3 linked regions of the Solanum lycopersicum genome follow. The protein of the gene in region 1 interacts with the protein of each later gene in a pairwise test. Links are inferred from orthologs where the notes say so. Each region holds a gene or a part of one and is shown on either strand. Other genes may lie near its edges. The genes, in order: TCP21, abscisic acid receptor PYL2-like and abscisic acid receptor PYL3.

Region 1 (3,186 bases):
CTTATACCCTCTATTTACCATTCTTATTTATCAAGAGAATTTAATTAATAATCATAGCCTTTGAATTAAAAAACCATATTTTAAAAAAAAAATTAAATTTTTGTATTGACTAGTATTCATTGACCCACACCCCTCTATCCATCTTTAGTGGGCCCTACTCTAAAGTCACATGTAATTTATGAAGTAATCCAAGTGCACGGGCCAAATGGACCCAAAGATAAGAACCACAGTACATACACAGTTACAAAAATAGCTTATATGTATTCTTTATTTATTGAAAATATATATTATATATTACTTTCTCTTCCGATATTGTTTGTCATGATTTCTATTTTTAGAGTCAAACTATAAAAACTTTGACTAACACATTTTTTCATCATATTAATATGTAAAAAATTATAATTTATAGTACTTTTCATATAGTTTTAGAATATCTAATTTTTTTATTTAAAATATCGAATTAATATGATCAAAAAATTAGTCAAATTGAACATGACAAACATTTTCTAAAGGATCGAGTTTATGTTAGTACAAAATTTACTTTTTTTTTAAGAAAAAACTACTAATGGATAGAGCACATTAACAAGCACTATAATGCAAAGAAAAAGTTGAGTGCCCCAAAACTAAGAAAACAGCAAGTTGACATTTAACATTGACGAACCCATGTCACAGCAGAGCAACTTCCTTTCCTAGATGCTTACAAGCAAAATGTTAAAATAATCTTTTGAAAAAACTAGATGCTTATCCAGAAGAGATTAACAAAAAAAGATAAATTAATGGGTCTTAGAACCCTAATCAGGATTTAGATGAGGAAGTTTGATCAATTTCACTGGAACCAGAACCAACCATAAACTGAAGCTCTCTCTTGTCATAAATCTCCAGTGAGAAATCTCTAAGCATCTGTGTAGAACTAGAACTTGGAGGCATAGCTGAAGCAACTGTGCTTAACTTGCCTCCATTGTTATCACTTTTTGACACACAAGCAGCAGAGACCCCTGTTGCTGCATAAGGTACATTAAGTATTGGAGTGGCCCACAACTGAGCCCCAGTAGCAGCAACTGTTGTATTAGTGCCTGGCGGTAGCATATAGAAAGTTGCCCCACCGGTAAATGCTGTGGTGGGAATAAGTCCATTCCCAGAGCCCACTGGCCAAACAGGAACAAGACCTTGTGGGGCAATGGGAGCCACCGGTGCAAAATTTGACGCCTCATAAAACTCGCTATTTGCAGCCCTTTTCCTTCTCTTCCTCGAGCTTTCTCCCTCGTTGTTTGACGTCGGTATTTTCAGCGTTCCGTTTACTGATACCGCGATGGCCGGAACCGTACCCGTTCCAGTAGCGGCAATGATGGCTGGCTCGGCGCGTTCTAGAAGCCATCTTATAGTTTCACCTTCCGATTTATGACCTAGTTCCCGCGTTAATTGGAAGATTCTAGCAGCACAAGCCGCCGGCATACGGATTCTCCGACCACGGCCTTCCACTTTCGTGTGCCGGTCCTTTGAGGATCTTTTCACCGGTTGTTTCTCTACCTTCTGCAATTGCATATTCATCCCAACCGACGTAGAAACTCGCAAATCATTCTCCTCCGGTTCTTCCTTTAACAACAGCACCCTATCAGTGGACGCCGCCGGAGACGGATCCACCCCTTCCGCATCGGTGACATTCCCTACCGCTGCAATGGTGTATTCATGAGAATCACCAAGTAACGGATCAATCTTACAGTCGTTCACCTCGTCATCTTCTTGTTCAATGTTTTGGTTGTTCTCAACCCTCGCCATTTTTCAGAAAAATCCCAAACACAGCTGCAAATAGCTGAAACCCAAAAAAATTTAGAGCTTAAAAAAATAAAAAAGGAGGATTGAAATAACTACAGTACCCCACTGTGTACTTAATGAAAATTGACACAAGGAGAAATTAATATAGAATTACGCGACGAAATTAAAAATTTTATTTGGACATATGATATAGAATTTTAATGTTGTGTATTTTTTTTTAATATAAATATAAGAATCTCATAAATTCTAAAATTGTTAAAATAGCTTTAATTATTTATTTTATATTATTAAATAAATAAAAATCATAAAATTGTATAATAAATTATTGCAAAACTATTTGTTCTTCACTTAATTAATTGTTTCATCAATATATTTGAGTTAAAATGAAACATGACGTGAAATTATATTGGTGAAGTGTGAGTTAAAGTGACTTATGTTGATGAGAATTAAATTTTTTTATGTCAGTGAAATTAATAAATTTTAAAACGTTATGACGTGATTATAAATTTTATTTAAATGTGAAATAATAGTTAGTATATAGAAATGTGGGGTTGTTTGAACAAAATATAAATTCGTGAATTAATTTTTGTATTTAAATAACTCAAATCATGATATTGTATTCTCATATGATTCTATACCATGATTTTTGAAGAATATGATATCAAATCTCATTATATGAAATCACGAGATGTAATCAGCATAAAATCATATGTCTAAATGCTGATTTCATCTCACGATACTATATCACATGGCCAAAACGCCAACTAAATTTAATTAGAACTCTAAGAAAATTATGTTAGGTAAAAAGTTTGACAAGACAAAGATCAAACTAGAGCTTAATATATTGATGTTATTTTATTTTGATGCCTGATATTTTTTAGGTGAAATAATTTATAATATAATAATTAAAGATATTTATTTTGATAATTTAACCCTAAATTGTGAAAAAAAATAGTGTGAAGTTCAATAATGGGCTTCACATGACGAATAAAATCTAAATCTATCAATTGTTATTTTCTTTGCTAGGTTCTCTTGCTCTTTGGATTTCTTTCCTTTTATTCTGCCCGATTTTCCCACATAATTATTAATAGAAACAAACACATGAAAAATAAAAAATTATGATTGAGTGTTATAAAAAATTATTACATGATATTTATAAAAAATTATTTGTTCATTAAAGAATATAACTTTTAGGAAGAGTCACCTCTGAAATTTTATTAATATAAAGCATTTCGGGAAGTAAACTAAAAAAGATCTCCGTAATAAACAAAACGATTTGTTGTATGGAATTATTTATACTTAACCCACTATTTACATGAGGAATATCTCTTTAAAGAACGCAATTAGACACTTCAAAACCATCTTCTTTTGCAATTATATTTCTTACTATTTTTTTTAATGACGATATAAATG
Region 2 (3,401 bases), on another chromosome or scaffold:
ATGTATATATTCAAATTGCTTTCTTCTAGTCACATATGTATACATATATATTTTAAAATTATTTTTTTTAGTCAAATTTCAAACAAGGTAAAAATTAAAAGAAAATAAGTGAGTAATAAAGCAAATTTTAATATCACATGTTGTAAGGTGTAAGTCACAAGTTTCTCAATGGTAACAACACTAATATTTATCTTTATTTATTTATTTTTGTATATTTTTAAAAATTTATTTCTCTCCTTTTTTCCCCCTCACATTTATTAAAAAAGTAGTAGAGTAGTTCAACAATAATTTCCCCCCTTTAAGGTTGGAGTATACACAAACCATTTATAAGGTATCTTGCCAGCTTTTCATTCACATAAAGTTATTTTTTTTTTCTTTGCGGTAAAAAGTAACGATATTAATATATTCAGTAATATTTCGTAAGAAAAATTTGGAAAAAGTAAACTATACATAAATCATATTCATAAAATATAAAATATAAGAGATGTTGTCAATATCGTTAAAGAATTTTGAATCGAATACAAACGTATATATATTTCACAAATAAACCATAGATATATGTATATATTTCAAGAATTACAAAAATACAACAAACATTTCAAAAAATCAAATCCACAATTACGTAACTGTTACAATACATAAAAATTATCAAATCTTATTCGATACCTATTCTGATGAAAGGAAGCACATTTCGCCCCAAACACCATACTTATTAGTAAAAGAAAATAACAAAACAATCAAATTTAAACCCTGAATCCTTTTGTTATCGCGATTAATTATTCGTGACCATGCATAGTAGACATTGCCACTAAAGCAAGTTTTTGTAGATTCAATTTCACAACAGTATCAGTAAACATTTTTGTATCTTCACCAGTATTCCCTTCTGGAATATCAACAATATATGATTCCAAAACTATAGTATAAATTTTTCCATTTTTTTTAAATTCATTTACTGATGTTACTGATTTATAATTTGTCAATCTATGTTCACCTCCAACAACTCGAAAACTTAAAATATGTTTTTCATCATCTAATATCTCTAGACGTTCTGTACTTGTTGATGCAGGTATTCCTGACACAACTGTTACTTCTCTTATGCTACCAACTCCGCCATCACCTGTATCGAGTGATCGAGTCAGAATTTTCACTAAACAAACGTCAAAATATAACAAAAAAATAGTTGGTCTAATATTTTACTTTAAATGATAAAATGTATATACACAAACAGAAATAAATTCACGAAGAAATCAAAAAGACCGATGTCAACATATATATATATATATATATATATATATATAACATACTTAGCTACGTAATGTAAGTTAAGTACATGTGACTTCGCCACTTTTTTTTTTTTTTTAAGAAGGATCAATTACTTATACAATATTTCAATTATTGTATAAAAATGCAACTTTGGTTGATGAGAGATGTTATGATGATTAAACATATAAAAAACGAATTTTTGACATTATAAATAAAAGATAATTTAAGTATATGTATTATCACTATAATATTTTTGGACAAATTTTATTTGTATTTGATTTGAACCAGGAAAATGAATGATCTTCATACATAGAGATTTTTTTCATCGAGAAGATTAATAATATTTACTTTAACCACTAGAATAAGTCTCGCTTGTCTATAGGTGAAAGGTAAATTTGAAGTATAGTATATGTAACAAAATAATCACTTATAATAATATATGTGTTATAACGTCAATTTAAACTTTTAGATGAAATAGTTACATACCTGATACGATCCTGCAACTTTTGATGAAGTGCTTATACTTCTCGGGATTATCAAAACGACGGATGAATGGCCATACGACATCGACGGGCGCGTCTATGCGTTGCGTCACAAGAGAAGTACAAGTATTTGGTAAATCCTCAAAAGTATGATAATTTCGAATCAATGGTTCCAACTCAACAAATTCTTCTTGTGTTAGCCCTTGCGGAACTAATAATTGTCTATCACCATCCATTTAAGGAACGGGGTTGAAGAATCGACGATACGAGTGTTCTCGAAGAGAAAAAAAATTCACAAATTTGATTGATTGAAAATGGAGAAAAAAATGGCAAATTGTTTTATCCTTCTTTTGGTCTTTGGGAGATAGGAAGAGAAGTTATAGGGTTCCTTTTTATGATGAGAGGGAAAATACATGTGGCATGGGTTGTTTAGCTTTATTTATTAGAGTTTCGTAGGCAGTTCCGTGCATGAAGCATATAATTTTATATGTGAAATAATAATAATTAATCGACTTTATGAGATAATTAACATTAATTGAGTGATTTTTGATTTTTATGTCATAAAACAAAGTTTAATAACTTTCGGAGATATTAATTGTTATCGAGTAACTATTTAAGAAATTAACTCGTTTTTAAATTTTTAATTAAAAACTCCGAGTTCATACTAGGATTGGATATAATTTGTTGGTAAAGAACATTTCTTTAAATTATAATCGAGTTTTTATATATATGACGTAAATTTACATTAAATTAAGATATAAAATAAATATCAAATATCGAAAAAAAAAAAAAAAACATAGCAAAGCTGTATATTCGAGGATCATGTGACAAAGTTTAACACATTCGCGTGATCAAAACTCAACTTTGCAGCATTCAACCCTACCCACAACTTTTTTTATTGGACGGTCGTTTGATACGTGAGATAAAGAATAATAATTTTGAAAAAAAATAATTTTATTTCATATTTAATTGGAGATATTAGTTAATTTTGTGATTGTTTATCACATTATTTGTAGTGAAATAGCGATTTTATTGTCTCATAAAGAAGGTGAGATAAAATAATCTCATGAAATATTCTTGCTTATCTCATCACGCAGATCAACTAATGCTCTAGGTTAGGACTTGGCTCGGAGACATATGTGACACTATGATGTTAGGGGTGTCAAATTAGCTAGGTAGGTTAAATTTGAACGAATCAAAATGGACGAGTAATATTTTCATCAATAAAAGATATATATAGGTTAGAACTACACATAATTATATATATGCACATAATTATAATTGTACTACACACTTTTCTATTACTAAATTTAACTATATTTTAATATAAACATCGAAAATCAAAAATTATTCTCACGCTCACCGCTTTGCCCTCTTAGATAGACCCGCCGGACGAATTCATTCCCATTTAGATAAATACAATAGATGGAAACCTAAGCAAGTAGCAAAGCACAACCCCTCGCAAGTTGCTGCATCGGGCTTTCGCCCATTTATTCTATACCAAAAGTGAATTCATTTGCATACGACATTCTTACGGCACGAGCAAGGCATGAATCATCGTAAGGAAAGGGCTGGGGGCTATTACATGACTGATCCCGCTCTGACATATCGTAAGAAGGGGTTCTACTCAGAATGGCTCTATTCCATCGTAGTTAG
Region 3 (3,764 bases), on another chromosome or scaffold:
TTACAACCCAAGCTCAATTCACGCACAGCCACAAACAGCATGGCTGGTTCTTCACATTATGAAATAGACTGATTGCATTTTACAAACCGCGATGACCTTACAGATGATGAAGAGGAAGCATGAACATATATATATGTATATATAGATAAAGATATATATACTTCTGAGATCGAGAAGGACCGGCATAAGTACCAGTCACTCTTACTCGCTTTCTAATCAAATCCTTGCACGCTTGGCAAAATGATGAAGCTGTTAACCTACATTCTGTCGATAGGCTCCATATGGCCCTGCACAGCTAAGCGCTCGGATACATCAGCTAGTGATTTGAGGTTACACCGGATGAGGGCCTCGACAAAGTAACAAGTTTCATCCTTAGTATTCCCATCTGGTACATCCACCACGAATGACTCGACTACCATTGTTCCAGGCCTTCCGTCAATGACCTTCGGGTGAACAGTGATAATTGATGAGTAGTTCTGCAAGTAATGTGAAGAAAAATTAAGACAGTCACCATCATCTCTTGTTTTTCCTTCCCGGGATAATAACAGAACATATGGTGACGAGCCTAAGAATCCAAAGTGAACAACCAACAAAATACCCCCAACCCCCCAAACCCAAATACACACAAAAAGAGGGAAATAAAATAAAAAGATCACAAGAAAGACTTCATGAATAAATAGAGCAATAACTTGACTATATAGGTCACTTGTTGATACTTCACGCTTCATGGTTGATTCTACGAGGGAAAAGTTATGGATATATTCAATACATATCAAACGATGAGATAAAAGACTCATACCCTAAGCCTGTGATCTCCACCTACGATCTTTACACCAAAAATGTGCTCGTCATCATCTAGAAGCTCTAACCTCTCCTTGCTTGTGGTAGCTGGGAGTCCGGACTTAACATTCACTTCCCTAACACTTCCGATTTCAAGGTCCCCTTGCACGATGCACCTGCTAACAAATGGTTTGTACCTTTGTGGTTGATCAAACCTCCTCACTAATGACCAAACCTATCAAATATACCAAAACCCAGTAAGTACCCAGTGAAGAAAACATAAATATGTTACCTTTCTCAAAACAAAAAAACATACATGGTACATCCATTTTCCGTCTTTAGATACAATACATGTAAACCATAGAAATCCAAAATAGTCTACTTACTTCAATCTTTTCCAGTGATCAATTGACAAGCCTGAACAGTTCGAAGAACATCAATGAAATGAAGTAATAAAACAATCAAACGTCTTGAATAGTTTCAAACTCACTGCTTTTTTTCTCTTTCATAAACAGCTTAAAATACATTGTCCAAAGAAAAGTTCAAGGCATCTCTGCAACTAGCTTCCTCAACAGATAAAGACGGAGCTCTCTTTTCAGTAACCAACCCCTCTTTTCTCTCAAATCCACAGCTATTGTGAAAACTAAAATCCATAATCTATGTTATCGGAAAACACTATAAAGATTGTTTTTTCCAAGAATCTAACTTGGGGCAACTTACATCATCACCAAGAGCTCCAATATGCTTAACAAGTGAGAAATTGCATCAATTATCTCAAAATATACATAAAATTCCAATCTTTTTTTTCAATACACTGAATAAGGGCTACCTACAACCTCAACAAGGCCTCTGATATGCTTAACAAATGAAAATAAACACAAACATTCAGTCATTTTTTTTTCAAGAATCTAACTTGGGGCAACTTACAACATCACCAAGAGCTCCAATATGCTTAACAAGTGAGAAGTTGCATCAATTATCTCAAAATAAACATAAATATCCAATCTTTTTTCTTCAATACACTGAATAGGGGCTACCTACAACCTCAACAGGGGCTATATTATGCTCAACAAATGAAAATAAACATAAAAATTCCGCCTTTTTTGATTAAGAATCTAACTTGGGGCAACTTACAACATCAACAAGAGCTCTAATATGCTTAACAAATGAAAATAAACATAAAAATTCAAACTTTTTTTCAAGAATCTTAATTGGGGTTACTTACAAGATGAACAGGAGCTTTAATATGCTTTACAAGTGATGAACTACACTGATTATCTCTAACATCATGTCTATGATGTCTCCTAATATACTCATCTTCACTACTAATTTTTCTATCAACGTTCATGATGCTGACCATCGCCGGAGAAAAAACAACGGCACCGACAACCTCGTCGACGGCGAATAAATCTGGAAAAAAAAAGGGTGGAAAATGAGAAAAATTAATTTAGAAAAAGCCAAAAGACACCGCCATTAGAACCTCGAAATAATTTTTTGAGTGGTTTAAATTTGATGGGTTATTTTATTTTTTTATATATATTTTTATTTTCTCGTCCACATCTATAAACCTCCATTATTGTTATTATTTTTTTGTAATTTAAATAATTAAGATAATTTGTGCAAGTGGGGTTTTTGGTGGTGGGGGGTAGGTATTAAGTTTCTAAATTTAATTAACATTTTGATCTAAAATGGAGAAAACTACTTTTTACAAAAGTAGAAATTGATAATGTTATTTTAGAATAATATATTTGATGTTATAAGATAAGTAATTGGTTAAAATCTTTATTAATAATATTGTGCCCTTGTCGGCTTTAAAGTATCTTGATTATTTGTTTTTTCTTTTATTTTAATTTATTTATTTTATTTGAATTGACATAAATTTTAAAAAGTGAAAAAAAAAATTAATTTTATGTCTATAAACTAAAAATATATGTCCTTTGGAATGACTCAGATGATTTTGAGGGTGGTTATCCCTACGGATAATTCGAGATTGATCTCCCTCAATATTTTCTGAGTTGATTTTGTCACATAGAATTTATCTAGTACGATTTACATTTCATATGTCATTCGAGATGATTAGTTGATTTTGAAGGTGGTTATTCACGCGGATGACTCGGGATTGATCCTCACTCAACACTTTTGAGTCGAGTCTGTCGGATAGAAATGACAGAAATTATAGCAACTTCCGATTATTCAAAGAATTCAAAAAAAAAAGAAAAAAATATCATGTTATTTAATCTTATTGATTTTAATTATATATCATATGAAAAAAGAATTAAAAATATATTTTTTTCTAAAACGAACTTTAAAAAAGACGAATGAATTGTATAGTTTGGTTCGAAATCAAATTATTATGATTACTGGGATTATCGTTAGGATTATCTACCATATAATTTCAGTGTAAAACAAAAGGAATAAAATTCTTGCAATTTATATAATTCAAAACATTTATGATATTTGCATGATTCCATTATAAAATTATGTCAGAATAAATTAAAGTAAAGAATTCAAAATTAAATTATTCTAAGTATAGAAGAAATATATCTCATAAAATAAAATAGATGCATTATCAAAACATTTTATCCTGTTAACATTTGGATTCTAGTCAATCATTTTCTTCATTCCAATCGGATAAGTCGTTAGCCTACACTTATTAATACAATGATCTGTTTGTTCTTCGATATTCGATGAATTTAAATACTTTAAAGTGAAATTAAAAATTTTCATTTAGAGATAAATATTTTTATTAGACAATCAACTTTAATTATATTCAGATCAAATTAAATATTATTTTAATAAATAATAAAAATATTTTAAAATTGAATTATTATCTCCTCAAATACATACTTCACTCTTTTTTTAGGGTGAAACCATACATAAAAGAATCCACAATTACTAATCCACTGCTAATCCATCATTAAATCACCAAACAACCACTAAATAATCATACATAAGGGAAAATTAAACTGAAATTGAATAAAGCT

What was found.
Region 2: the proteins of TCP21 (region 1) and abscisic acid receptor PYL2-like interact in binary tests that used the Arabidopsis thaliana proteins (3 or more experiments, as listed by UniProt). The link is inferred for Solanum lycopersicum from reciprocal best matches to the Arabidopsis thaliana genes AT5G51910 and PYL2.
Region 3: the proteins of TCP21 (region 1) and abscisic acid receptor PYL3 interact in binary tests that used the Arabidopsis thaliana proteins (3 or more experiments, as listed by UniProt). The link is inferred for Solanum lycopersicum from reciprocal best matches to the Arabidopsis thaliana genes AT5G51910 and RCAR1.

Annotation. Positions count from the first base shown.
Region 1 is NC_090802.1:2,189,789-2,192,974, reverse strand, and holds TCP21 (TCP transcription factor 21), read right to left. Parts: upstream 1,818-3,186; 5' UTR 1,777-1,817; coding exon 796-1,776; 3' UTR 628-795; downstream 1-627.
Region 2 is NC_090811.1:67,277,297-67,280,697, forward strand, and holds abscisic acid receptor PYL2-like, read right to left. Parts: upstream 2,157-3,401; 5' UTR 1,982-2,156; coding exon 1,750-1,981; intron 1,118-1,749; coding exon 777-1,117; 3' UTR 536-776; downstream 1-535. UniProt on the Arabidopsis thaliana protein: Receptor for abscisic acid (ABA) required for ABA-mediated responses such as stomatal closure and germination inhibition. Inhibits the activity of group-A protein phosphatases type 2C (PP2Cs) when activated by ABA. Can be activated by both (-)-ABA and (+)-ABA.
Region 3 is NC_090807.1:67,225,286-67,229,049, forward strand, and holds the start of abscisic acid receptor PYL3, read right to left. Parts: upstream 2,541-3,764; 5' UTR 2,141-2,540; coding exon 2,006-2,140; intron 1,016-2,005; coding exon 800-1,015; intron 477-799; coding exon 258-476; 3' UTR 1-257. UniProt on the Arabidopsis thaliana protein: Receptor for abscisic acid (ABA) required for ABA-mediated responses such as stomatal closure and germination inhibition.